Linked DNA regions of Oryctolagus cuniculus. The protein of the gene in region 3 interacts with the protein of the main gene of each other region in a pairwise test. Links are inferred from orthologs where the notes say so. Each region holds a gene or a part of one and is shown on either strand. Other genes may lie near its edges. The genes, in order: ATF4, CEBPE and CEBPG.

Region 1 (3,821 bases), on a different chromosome or scaffold from region 3:
CAATGGGTCCCGGTCCCAGACTGTGGCTGTCCCTAACGGCTGGCCCAGAACAGCGGGGTCTGGCCCCCCAGCTCAGGGCCAGTGCTGGGGCATAGCAGGTGAAGCAGCCTGCAGTGCCAGAACCCCATGTGGGTGCCAGTTCGAATCCCAGCTGCTGCAGCTCTCTGCTGTGGTGAGTGCTTGGGCCCCTGCATCTGTCAGCTCCAGGCTTCTGCTGCAGCCCAGCCCTGGCTGCCGTGGCCATTGGGTGTGTGAGCCAGCAGATGGAGGACCGTCTCCAACTCTGCCTTCGAATAGACAGCTCTCCCATGATCTGTGTGTGTGCAGGCTGGAGCCAGTGACCACCCCCACACACACACACAGGAACACCGAACAAGGAAGTTGCAGCCACTCATGGAGTGAGTGCCCGCCCCAGACCAGATCCCACCATCCCGCGTGGGACTCTTGTTGCCCGCCCCACCACGCCCAGAGGGTGTGAGCCACAGGACAACTCCCAGGAATGCTTTCACTACAAAATAATTTATTAACAGCGGAGCCTCCTGTGCGTGCGCCCTAGGCGGGGACCCTCCTCCTGCCGCGGGCCGCCCGCACCTCCTCCAGCAGGTCCTTGAGGTACTGGATCTCCTTGGCCAGGCCGTCGGCCCTCTCCCGCAGGGCCGCGTTGCGCTCCTCCAGCCCCCGGCACTCGCCCGCCAGCGCCTCCTGCTCCGCCCGCTTCTTCTGCCGGTAGCGCGTGGCGGCCGTCTTGTTCTGCTCCATCTTCTTGAGCTTCTTCTCCAGCTTCTCGCCCTTCACGCGCGCCGCCGCGGCCGCCGCAGGCTCGTAGGGCTTGGGGCGGGCCGGGGCGGGGGGGCCCCTGTGCGGGGAGCCCCTGGGGGTGGGGGCGGAGGGGCTGCGCTGCGGGGAGCCCGGGCAGGACTCGGGGCTCATGCAGACGCCGCTGTCGTTGTCGGAGGGGCTGTCCTCCTCCTTGACGCCCTGCGGGACCACGGGGCCCAGGCCGGGCGACTCGGGCTTCCGGTCCCCGTCCGCGATGTCCACCTCGCTGCCCAGCTCCAAGCTGAACGACTCATCCGGGGAGGCGGCCGCGACCCCCAGCGACAGGGGCAGGGGCTGCAGGAAGGTGCAGGGGGCGACCTGCGGCAGGCTCGCGGGGAGGGGGCCGAGCGGGCTCCCTGCCTGGGGCGGCTCCTTGAGCGCGTCCAGGGCCAGGGGGGCGAAGAGGTCGCACGAGTCGTCCAGCGTGGCCAGCAGCTCGTCGGGCACGGCCTCCAGGTCGTCCAAGCTCAGCAGGGCGTCGAAGTCGAACTCCTTGAGGTCCACTTTCTCCAACATCCAGTCCGTCCCGGAGAAGGCGTCCTCTGCGGGGGCGCGAGCGAGGGCGCGTGAGGCCGGCGCCCCCCCCCCGACACGGGCGCCCCCTCCCACCCCCACCCCCCGCGGCGCTCACCCTTGCCGTCGGCGGGGGCGCCCAGCAGCCCGTCCGCCGCCAGCCATTCCGAGGAGCCCGCCGCAGCCTTGTCGCCGGGGGGCCCGGGAGGCTTCCAGGGCGTGGCCACCTCCAGGTAGTCGTCCAGGAGCCCCAGGCCCTCCTCAGCCCCCAAAGCCGCCTGGTCGAAGGGGGACGCCAAGTCCCCCGCCAACCCCGCGCTGTGCAGGAAGCTCATGTCGGCCGTGTCGCGGGGCTGCGCTGGAACCGGGGCAGGGGCTCAGCTCGAAGGTGTCTCTGTCCGTGACAGCAACGCTGCTGCTGGGTGCCGTGAGGAGCCTGCGGGCGAGCGGCAGGGGCGCCATCAGGGCGGGGGCCGGCCGGGCGGCAGGTGCACAGCGGCCATGGCCGCCCCCGCCGGGGCCGGCGCCCGGCCCGCCCGCCCGGCCCCGCCCCGTGACTCACCCCGCGCCGCCTCCCGCCGCCATCTTGGCCGCCGCCACGTTTCGCGGGGCGGCCACCGCGACCCCCGCCGGCGCAGAGCGGGGGCCGGGGCTCCGAGGACAGCGCGCCCCCACCTCCCCGGGGACGCGGGCGCCGGGCCGCGCTCTCCCGACCCCGCCCAAGGACACGCAAGCAGGAACCACGCGTCCCCGGCGCTCGTAAAACCGCTTCCGCCTCGGCGACGCGGCCCCGACCCCCGGCCGCAGGCCGCGCCCAAGCCCAGGCCCAGGCCCAGGGCCCGCAGACGCCGGGCCCCGGCCCCCTCGCCCGGCCCGGTACTCACGCCATGGCTTAAGCCGCTGGGGGTTGCCGCTGCAGAGCCTGGTGCTGCTGCCGCCGCTGCAAAGGCCAACGCTGCCGCAGGCACTGCTGCCTCTAATACGCCATGGTGGCCGCGGCCCTGCGGGACGGGAGGAGGAAGGGCACGGCTCGCAAGAGATCTACATCGACGGGCGGGCGCAGCGGTAATGGCGGCGGCGCGCGGCCCGCCGGGCTTTTATAGACTTGGTCGCCTCCGAGCCGCATCACAGGACGCATCCTTCCGCCGCGGCCATGTGACCCGCGCCTCCTGCCCACTCCCCGGCGTCCCCACCACTTTCCTCCCCCGAGCTTTTATGTCCGAGGCGTAGCCATGTACAGAAAAGTAGTTTACTTTCAAGATCTCACGTCGGGAAAAAGGCGCACTACTTTACAAGGCGTCCAAGATCAAAGAGTCTCGTCCTTTCCCCCTCGGATGCCCGGATGCGCGGAGGGATCTCTCTCAGGGGCGGGGCGTGAAGAGCCTTTCATTCCAAGGAGGCTTTTTATTGTGAAGGCCGAGGCCGCCCGGCTATCGCGCGAGACGCTGGCGGGGAGCGCGCGTCGAGATGATTGGCTCAGGCCTGAGGAGTCATATATACCTTGAGCTCCTATTGGCTCAGGGCCCGAGGGGGGCGGGCCACTCGGCGAAGGGGCCCGGGTCTGCGCGGGAAAGGGCGGGAGCGGCCTGGCGTGCAGCCGTGCCTTTGGTTGTAGCCTCGGCGGCCGCAGCGGTAGAAATCAGCGCCCAGCGGCCTCCGAGCGAGCCCGCCGCGAGCGGGCCCGGGCCTCGGGGCCGGGGAGCCTGCCGCCGTCCGGGGCCGGCTCTGCGTCCTCCCGCTGACCTCCGCGAGCCGCTGGCCAGCCTGCGTGTCCGCGGCGCCCTTTCTGCTGCAGGGCGTCGCTGCGGGGACGCCTCTGGCCTCTGCAGGCTCAGCCCCGCTGCGACCCCGGGTGGTTCCCACGAGCTCCGGACAAGGCCCGGTGGCCCTGCGGGGGACAGGAGTTCCCGGGGAGCCGGGCCCCGGCCCGCAGAGCTCCACTCCCGCGTCCCTTCCGCGAGCGCTGCTGGCTGGACAGACAACCTGCCCTGGGGCCAGGGCCACCCTTCCCAGGGTGCACGGGCAGCCCCGGCGCCCCCGTCTGTTGGCGGACACTGGCCGTGCTGGGGCCCGGCCCGCGCGCGGGACGCGCTCCCGCCACGCTAACTCGGGGTCCCCACTCCCGGCTACCCCTGTGGGGTCACTCTGCTTCCTCAGGGGGCTCCTCCCGGAACTGACCGGCGGCCGAGGCCTAGGGCGCGGCACTCTGCCCGGGGGTCAGGAGGAAGGCGGTGGGGGTGGGACTCCCGCGCCGCCACCGCGACCCCGCATCCATCCCGGGAGTCCCGCCCGCTCCCTGCTGATGCGCCCGGGAGAGCCGTGCTTGCGCCCCTGCGCCCACGTGGGCGACCCGGCGGAGTTCCAGCTCTTGGCCATCTGGGGAACGAACCAGATGGAAGAACTCCTAATTTTTGCCTTTCAAGTAAAGAAGCAAGTTTTTTAAACTTATTTGAGAGGTAAGAGTCACAGGGAGGCAGAGAGAGCTCCTC
Region 2 (3,636 bases), on a different chromosome or scaffold from region 3:
TCTGGGGTTGTCTGAGGCTGTGGAGCTGGAGAACGCGGGGAGGAGGTGAATGTGGCAGTCCCCTCGGGCTTTTCCCCTTGTTGTCTGGGGCTGGAGCTCACAGACCTATCCCTTTGAGACAGGTCTGCCAACAGGCCTGGGCGCGGGATTGTGAGGTCTGGGACCTTTCGATTAGCCACGGATCTCTGGGAGGAAAGGGCCCAGAGACTACTCCAGGTCCCGTGTGTGTGTGTGTATGTGTGCAGTCGGGGGTGCCTTCAGCTTCTGGAAAGATAGAGTAGGGAGGAAGAGGAAGGTGTGCGTTGGGGAGGTAGAGTGGCGTTGCCCTGGGCCGTGGGCAACAGGTCAGCATTCCCACAAACTCATCCCAGCATGGAAGCCACAAGGACCCAGCCACACTCATTCCCTGCTTTTTAGGCTTCTCGTGCCACACGTGCAAAACACACACAAACGCCTCCCCCCACGTGCACACCCACACAGAACAGGCCCAGGCTCTGGGCACAGCACGGCTTTATTCAGCAGTCTCATTATCACCGTGCGGGGTCCTGCCCTGCCTTCCCTCCCCTCTGCCGTCTGTCCATGGTCAATGTCCCAGACTCGGGCTCTGGGGCCCTGCCTGGTGCCCACAGTCAGCTGCAGCCTCCGACGCCCTTGATGAGGTTGGCGGCCTCGGGGATTTGGCGGAAGAGGTTGCGCAGGGTGTCCAGCTCCTGCGTGAGCTGCTCCACGCGGCTGCGCAGCCGCTCATTCTCCGCCATGTACTCCAGTACTTTCTGCTGTGTCTCCAGGATGCGCCGCTTGGCCTTGTCCCTGCTCTTGCGCACGGCGATGTTGTTGCGCTCCCGCCGCAGCCGGTACTCCAAGCTGTCCTTGTTCACTGCCTTCTTGCCCTTGTGCGAGGGGCCAGCCGGGGAGGGCGCCTTGAGGAGGGGACTGCAGGGGGGCACGGTGGTGGCCAAGGGGGCCTGCAGGGGAAGGCACAGAGGGTTGGAGGGGTGAGCCCAGGGGGTAGAGTGGAGGTGGGGCAGGGGATCACCCACCCCACCACCCCCTACTGTGGCCAGGGAGCCCTTGGGGCATGGACAGAATAGAGAATTTAGAGCCAGGCCAAAGCAGCCATCACTCTGTGGCCCCGGGACACAAGTGCTCTGTCGGTGACCCAAACCCCTGGCACTCTGTCTCCCATTCTGTGATCAGAGGCATTTCCTCTTCTAGAAGTAGGAATTGGAGAGCAAGAGGAGGGGGCATGGTGGGGGGGGGGGCATCAGCAGCCACTAGGATGGAAGGTCCGGGTGCAGAGAGCAGGGTCATGGCCCAGCGGCGAGCACTGAGGACTTGGGAGTGGGGCAGTTTCAGCGAACAGTACTAAACACAGACTCGAATGTCAGCCGGGACCCCGCCCCAGCCCAAGGGAAGCAGCTCTTACCTTGAGGACGCGCAGGGGCTGGCCTGGTGCTGCCAGGGTCGGGGGCAGGTGCACGGCCGTCTGCCCGCAGTGTGCCACCTGGTACTGCAGGGGATTGTAGCCGCCCCGGCTGCCACCTCGGCTGCCCTCTGGCCCCCGGGGCTCCTCCTTCACAGCCACAGCCCTGGGGTCGTAGCTCCCTGGGCTGCTGTAGATGCCAGGTCCCAGCGCCTTCCTGTCTGGGCCGAAGGTATGTGGGGGGTAGGCGAAGGGCCTTGGGTCGGGCGGCAGGTAGTGGGGGAAGGCAGGGCTTCCCGGTCCCTTAAGGCCCCGGGCCTCAGGTGCCGGCTTCATGGCAAAGAGATCGGAGAGCAGCTGCTCCTCCCCGGGCTCAATGTAGGCAGAGAGGTCGATGGAGGCCTCATGCTCACACATGTCCCCCAGCTCCCCGGGCCCTGCTCGGCCCCCCGGGAACTCAAGTGGCTGCTGGCCGCCCCGGGGCTCGCACTCGTAGTAGGTCCCGTGGGACATGGCCGGCCCGCCCCCTGGGCTCCCCGCCCCCGCCCTGCTGCCCGGGCACCCCTCAGGATGCTTGGCCTGCCTGCCCTCTGCTACCCCCTGCCCGAGATCTGCCCCAGAGCTGTCCTCTCTGGGCTCCCGCGTGGCCTCTCTTCTCCCTCCTCTGCTCTGCTTCCTTTTCCTTCCTCTGCAGTCGATGCCTCTCTTCTCTTCCCTTTTTCCCCCCCTCTCTCCCTGGGGTGACTCAGGGAGGGGCAGGGCACACCCCAGGGGGAAGGATGAAGGCTTCCGAGAAAGAGGGCCCCTGGCCCAGTTAGCAGTTGGGGGCACTCTTGGGCCAGGTGCAAGCCAGGGTTCTGGACAAGCCCGGAGCTGATGCTTCTGGGAATGGGGTCCCACCCCACCCCCGACGCTGCTGTGCCCAGGGGACTGCAGATCCTCACTGAGGGCAACACCTCACTCTGAATGTCCTCCTCCCTCTGACTTTCAGAAAGTTCTGTGCAAGCTGAAGTGCCAAGCCAGAGTGCACACAGCAAGCCCTCTTCCAGTGCTGACCCCCAGCCTGCTGTGGGCTCCACCCTGGACACGCCTTCTTCAGGGTCCCCCTCAAGCTGGGCTCCACCTACCCCCAGGGGCGGTCAGTTCCTTCTCTAGCCCCGCCCCTCCCAGAGCCCAAGGGTGTTGTTGGGGGGTTTAGGAAGTGCTGATGGGTTCTGGGAGCAAGCTGCACAGGGAGCCTGTGTCCTGGGCCCAAGAATGCTCAGTGGCTAGGATTCTGCACAGCGTCCGTGCGGTCACCCAAGTGCTGATGATGTGAGTTTTCAGCCTTGGCAATAGCCTGGCTCCATTTCCACCTGCCTGGGCTTGGCCAAGGTGCTTGGGCTGGCTATGGGTCTTGCACCCCAGGCCCAGGCTGGCTGCGGCCCCAGGAACCGGCAGTTGTCCCCATGGGTGGCTCCGGTGCCTCTCTTCCAGCTGCTGTGCGCTGCCAGAGGCTCAGGCTGGCACTTTGCGGCCCCCACGCCCCGCCCCCGCCCTGAAGCTCTGCCTCCGGTTTCCTGTGCCCTGGGCTGCCGGCCTCAGAAGCTCGCTGCAGCTCCTTTGCTGTTTTTCCTTGTGCGTGGCTGCTCTCTGACCTCCGTGCACGGCTCTCGGGTCTACTTCCTCTTGAGAGGCTTGAGGAGGCTTCTCCTTTGTCATCGCCTCAGCCTGGGGCTCCGTTTCAGGGTCTCCTGGAGAAGCCCGTGGCTGCTTCTCTATACCTCTTGATTGTTTTCAAACATTTTTGGAAATCTTTATTTTCAGGGGAGAGTGTTGTGCACAGCAGTTAAGCCACGGCTCGTGGGACTCACATCTCATGTCTCTCTCTTTCTGTCACTCTGCCTTTCAAGCAGATTAAAAAAAAAAATAAGCATTAAAAATTATTTTCAGGGGCCAGTGCTGTGGTGTAACAGGTTAAGCTGCTGCCTGCAGTGCTGACATCCCATATGGGAACCAGTTCGATTCCTGGCTGCCCCTGTTCCAATCCATCTCCCTGCAAATGTGCTTGGGAAAGGAATGGAGGATGGCCCAATGCTTGGGACCGTGCTACCTAACTTGGAAGACCTAGAAACTCCCAGCTCCTGGCTTTGGTCCAACCCAGCTCTGGGCATTGTGGCCATTTGAGAATCGAATCAGTGGATGGAAGATAGGTGTCTCTCTCTCTCTGTAAC
Region 3 (4,095 bases):
CAAACACCCAAGTCTCTGGGCGTGGACTAGACCTGCTGGGTGTGGAGGGCCTGCTCAGACAGAGAAAGCTGCAACAGCCTGGCAAGGCGGTTAGCAAGCCAGGGCAGAACTTCATATACCTACATACACTGTGTTTTTTTTTTTCTTTTCCTACAATTTTTAAAGGATAAGGAAATGTTTAGGGTAAAATTATGATTTTTATGAGCAACAAAACATAACCCATTTTTAATGGTGCTCAAATCACAATGGATCAGACCGATCTCGGCTGCGAGCACCGAGCGCCAGAGAAGCACACTGGTGTGGTACACAGGGTGCCTTGCTGCCCGCCCAGCCTCTACACCTCACTCTCAGCTGCAGCCCCTTCCTTTTCTTCTTTGCAAGTGGCTTGGCATCTCTCGCTGATTCCTAAGAACAGTCTATGCCGAAGCCGGCCCCAGCACCTGGGCCTCTTGGAACGCTCAGAATTGCTAAGAGGAAGCACCCAGGGCGCTGCTCTCGGGCCCTCCTGTGCAGGCTCTTACAGGAGTCAGGCTTCGGAGCCATCCTTTTCCCAGCGATCACCTCTCTCCTGGGAGACTCCACAAGGCAAGGATTTCGGAAATCCAGTGTATTTCCAGTGTATTTCACCGTCACCAAGAACCCCCGCCTGCAGTTCCCACGAATGTGACAACAATACTAATCCTATGCTGGCAAGCTCTGCTTCATTCGTCTTCAAAACACAAAAGTTTGCAATCGCCTTGAGGACCGCTGAGGGTTCTGGGCTCTTCCTTCCCCTCTTCCACCCCTGCTAAGGCTGCATCCCCCCGGCGGGCTCAGGCCGGTGGGCGAGGCGGCGGGTCCCTGGGGGCGCTCCAGGAAACTCTGGGGCGTGATTCAAAAAAACCACCCCAGGAATGTTGTTTCCCAAAAGCAGGTGTGGCCTTCACAAGGCGAGGCTGCCTCTAGCCTCCGGCTGGGACACGACTTTTCTCTCTACACGTATCCCACGGCGAGGGACCTGCCGCCGCCGCCGCCTCCCGCGGGCGGCTGAGGAGCCGCAGGCGGCGCAACGAGCCACTGCCGGCTCCCACCACACCCGCCACGCCCGCCGGCCGCGCCGCGCCGCGCCGCGCCGTGGCCAACGCCTCCGCCGCGGCCCGCCTCCCGGAGCCACCCGGCTCGTGACTGGCTGATGCCGCTGTCCGTCACGAGAGGAGGGTGCGTCACCGCCGGGCCGGCGTTCCCATTGGTCGTGGCGGCGGCGGCCACGCGCGCGGTGCCGGCGAGGAGGGGAAGCCGGTGGCCGCGGCGGCGGAACGGGCGGAGGCAGCCGGTTTCGTAACCGTCGCTCCTCCTCGTTGACTCGCGGGCAGCTAGGCCTGGGTCGGGTCGGGTCGGGCCGCGCGGGGCCGCTCGTAGTGGAGGCCGCCTGGGGGCGGGCGGGCTGGAGGCGCAGGTAAGGAGGCCGCGGACTGGAGGTCGGGCGGGCGCGCCGAGAGGCGGAGGTGGAGGCCGCGGCGGCGCCGGCGGCTCGCGTCTGCGCAGGGCCCGGCCCGAGGAGACCCGAGGCGGGCGGGCGGCCGGGAAGGCCCAGCGCGGCTCCAGGCGCGGGCGGCGGCCCCGTGCGGCGTCTGATGCAACCTGCCGGCAACACCCGGCGGGGGCGCTGAGCTCATCCCTGGCGGCGGCCCAGCGCCGCGGCGCCGCCCGCCGACCCCCGCGCTCCCGGCGCGGCCGGAGAGGGATGGGGGACGCGGTGTGCCCCCTCCCGGACCGGGCCCTGTTTGTGAACCGCGCTGAGTGTGTGTGTGTGAGACCAGCCCGGCGCGCATTGGCCCCTGGGGATGCGGGGTGTTCCCGCAGCGGCGGAAGGCGGACCGTGTCCTGCCTGCGTTCCGCATAGGATGTTTGCTGCCCTGTAATCGGCTCGGGCCGGGGTGGCGGTGGACAAGTGTTGGAGAAGTTCCTGGAGTGGGGAAGTAGGGAAGACAGCTGGCTTTTAAATGCGTAACTGCACGGAAAGGTGGTTTGCCGGTGCACGGGCATGTCGGCCTGCACTTGCCGGTTGGATGAGGCTTGGAGGAGCAGGGCAAGGTTAGCGCGGCCGCAGGGAGCCCCGGGCCAGCAGCCCGCCGAGGTGCGTGTCGTCCGGGGAGGGTGCGAGGGGCCGGGGGCTCTGCCCTTCCGAGGAGGCCGTGTCTTGCCCGGCGTCGGTTTTGGAAGGGGTGTAACAGCTCCGCACCTGGGAGCCGCTCGCTCTCAGCGGCGTTCTTCGAGTGGGTCATCATTCGGAGCAGAGCTGCCTCTCCCGAGAAAGGTGACTCCCAAAGAAAAGTTTGAAACCCGATCCTGTAAGGACTTGCTTTCGGTGTCTGAAAGTTCTTGATGGTTTAGGATCCGGTCAGTGGTGTTTGGGGTAGGCTGTTCCTCGGGTTGTTTCTGGAAAACCTGAAAACCAAGGCTGAATAATTCCAGGATACTAGGGGATATTCCAGTTTTTTGATTCCCCGTTTCCGGTGGGCATGCGTGGCTGGTTCAATTATTTTTACTACCTGTCTTAAACAAATAGGGGGAAACAGGACTTCATGTCTTCAAGAGCCCATCTCTGAATCTCAGGAGCCCATCCAGACTGTCAGCTCTGTGATGGGGGAGGGGGGCGGTGGTCTCCTCCCGGGGGCCTTAGGCGGCACCTGGGAAGCCTCTGGGAGCCGCAGCTCGCACTCCCGGCGCTTGGGTTTGGTCTGGTGGTCCCGGATTGCCTGACCCTGTCACAGAACCAGTGGGAAGCACAGGTAGCCACAACTCCAGGCTTGTCGTCTGGCAGTGTTCCGGGAGGGTGGTCCAAACACGGAGAGGTGACAGTGGTCTCCTGCCTTTTTGGCTTTCTAGCTCTGTCAGTAAAAGAAGAAGCAAAAACTGAACACACACTGTAGTAGATGTGTATTTACAAACAGTTTGTTTTGTGTGTTGTAAATCAGACCAAACGTGGATGGGAAAGGTGACGTTTAAAAAGACAAAACAAACACGAGTTCTCCTTCTGGTGTACTCCCTGAAGAGGGGGCTGTCCCTCCCTCAGGGCCCCTGCAGCCGGTGCTGGGCCTGCCTTTAGCTTTGTCTGCAGTGGTGCACCCTGTGGAGCTGGGATTGACAAGAAGCGGGGGAGCAAACTGGACAGAAGCGCTGCGATAAGAGAAGGTGGGCAGTGTTCAGGAGCCAGTGGTGGTCTAGTGCTGCCGAGACGTGCCGTGGAAGGGAGCCAGGGCTGGAGAGGGGCTCGGGACCTGGGGTCGGACCTGCGGACTGGAGGAGGAGGGTGTGACACACTCAGGTTTGATTGCTAGGTTGCTCTCGCCACCGCAGTTGGGGGAGCTAAGCCTGAGAGATGATGTCAGGCTGACGTAATTTAGGTGGCACTGGGATGGAGGAGAATGAGGGTAGGAGATTCTTGTTGTTACTGTGTTTGTTTGTTTGTTTTTAGGTAGAATTGTCAGGTTTAGTGATTTGAGCTGAGTTGGAGAAGGGAGAAGCATTCAGGAATACTTTGAAGCGTTGGCCTTCACTGGGAAATGGAGTGAAAAGTTTGTTTTAAGGAGCCAGCGGAGAAACATCATTCTAACTGTAGGGGGGGGGTGTGGGACAGAGGGTTTTTGGGAAAATTCTTTTTTTTTAAAGATCTTATTATTTATTTGAGAGGTATAGACAGCGAGAAGGAGAGACAGAAAGGTCGTCCATCCAGGAAAATTCTTGACAGGTTTATTTTCCCAAGTGAAACTTGAGAAAAATTTCATTTTACTCATTCTAACATTGTTGATTTTCCGTGTGTTACTGATTTGAAAGAACAATACTCAAGAGATTCGCATTAAAAAGCCAACCTTAAAGATCCATCAGTAATGACACCAGGGGCTCAGTGTCAGCATCACCAAAGTCATTTGGCAGTCCCTGGAAAAATGGTGGTGCAGCCCCGTTCCCGAACGCCTGAGCCATAGATCAGGACACCTGAGAAGGCGCGTTTCTGAGAAGTTCCTAACCGATGATGATGATGATGGTGGTGGTGGTGGTGGTGATGATGATGGTGGTGGTGGTGGTGGTGATGGTGGTGGTGGTGGTGGTGGTGGT

Evidence for each region.
Region 1: the proteins of CEBPG (region 3) and ATF4 interact in binary tests that used the Homo sapiens proteins (3 or more experiments, as listed by UniProt). The link is inferred for Oryctolagus cuniculus from reciprocal best matches to the Homo sapiens genes CEBPG and ATF4.
Region 2: the proteins of CEBPG (region 3) and CEBPE interact in a two-hybrid assay, tested with the Homo sapiens proteins (2 studies listed by BioGRID and IntAct, with this or other methods). The link is inferred for Oryctolagus cuniculus from reciprocal best matches to the Homo sapiens genes CEBPG and CEBPE.

What each region holds. Positions count from the first base shown.
Region 1 is NC_091442.1:115,754,815-115,758,635, reverse strand, and holds ATF4 (cyclic AMP-dependent transcription factor ATF-4), read right to left. Parts: upstream 2,421-3,821; 5' UTR 2,217-2,420; intron 1,769-2,216; 5' UTR 1,668-1,768; coding exon 1,451-1,667; intron 1,362-1,450; coding exon 553-1,361; 3' UTR 501-552; downstream 1-500. UniProt on the Homo sapiens protein: Transcription factor that binds the cAMP response element (CRE) (consensus: 5'-GTGACGT[AC][AG]-3') and displays two biological functions, as regulator of metabolic and redox processes under normal cellular conditions, and as master transcription factor during integrated stress response (ISR).
Region 2 is NC_091443.1:51,898,577-51,902,212, reverse strand, and holds CEBPE (CCAAT/enhancer-binding protein epsilon), read right to left. Parts: upstream 2,439-3,636; 5' UTR 1,937-2,438; coding exon 1,427-1,936; intron 966-1,426; coding exon 630-965; 3' UTR 501-629; downstream 1-500. UniProt on the Homo sapiens protein: Transcriptional activator. C/EBP are DNA-binding proteins that recognize two different motifs: the CCAAT homology common to many promoters and the enhanced core homology common to many enhancers.
Region 3 is NC_091449.1:21,554,310-21,558,404, forward strand, and holds the start of CEBPG (CCAAT/enhancer-binding protein gamma), read left to right. Parts: upstream 1-1,295; 5' UTR 1,296-1,435; intron 1,436-1,962; exon of another isoform or gene 1,963-2,073; intron 2,074-4,095. UniProt on the Homo sapiens protein: Transcription factor that binds to the promoter and the enhancer regions of target genes. Binds to the enhancer element PRE-I (positive regulatory element-I) of the IL-4 gene. Binds to the promoter and the enhancer of the immunoglobulin heavy chain.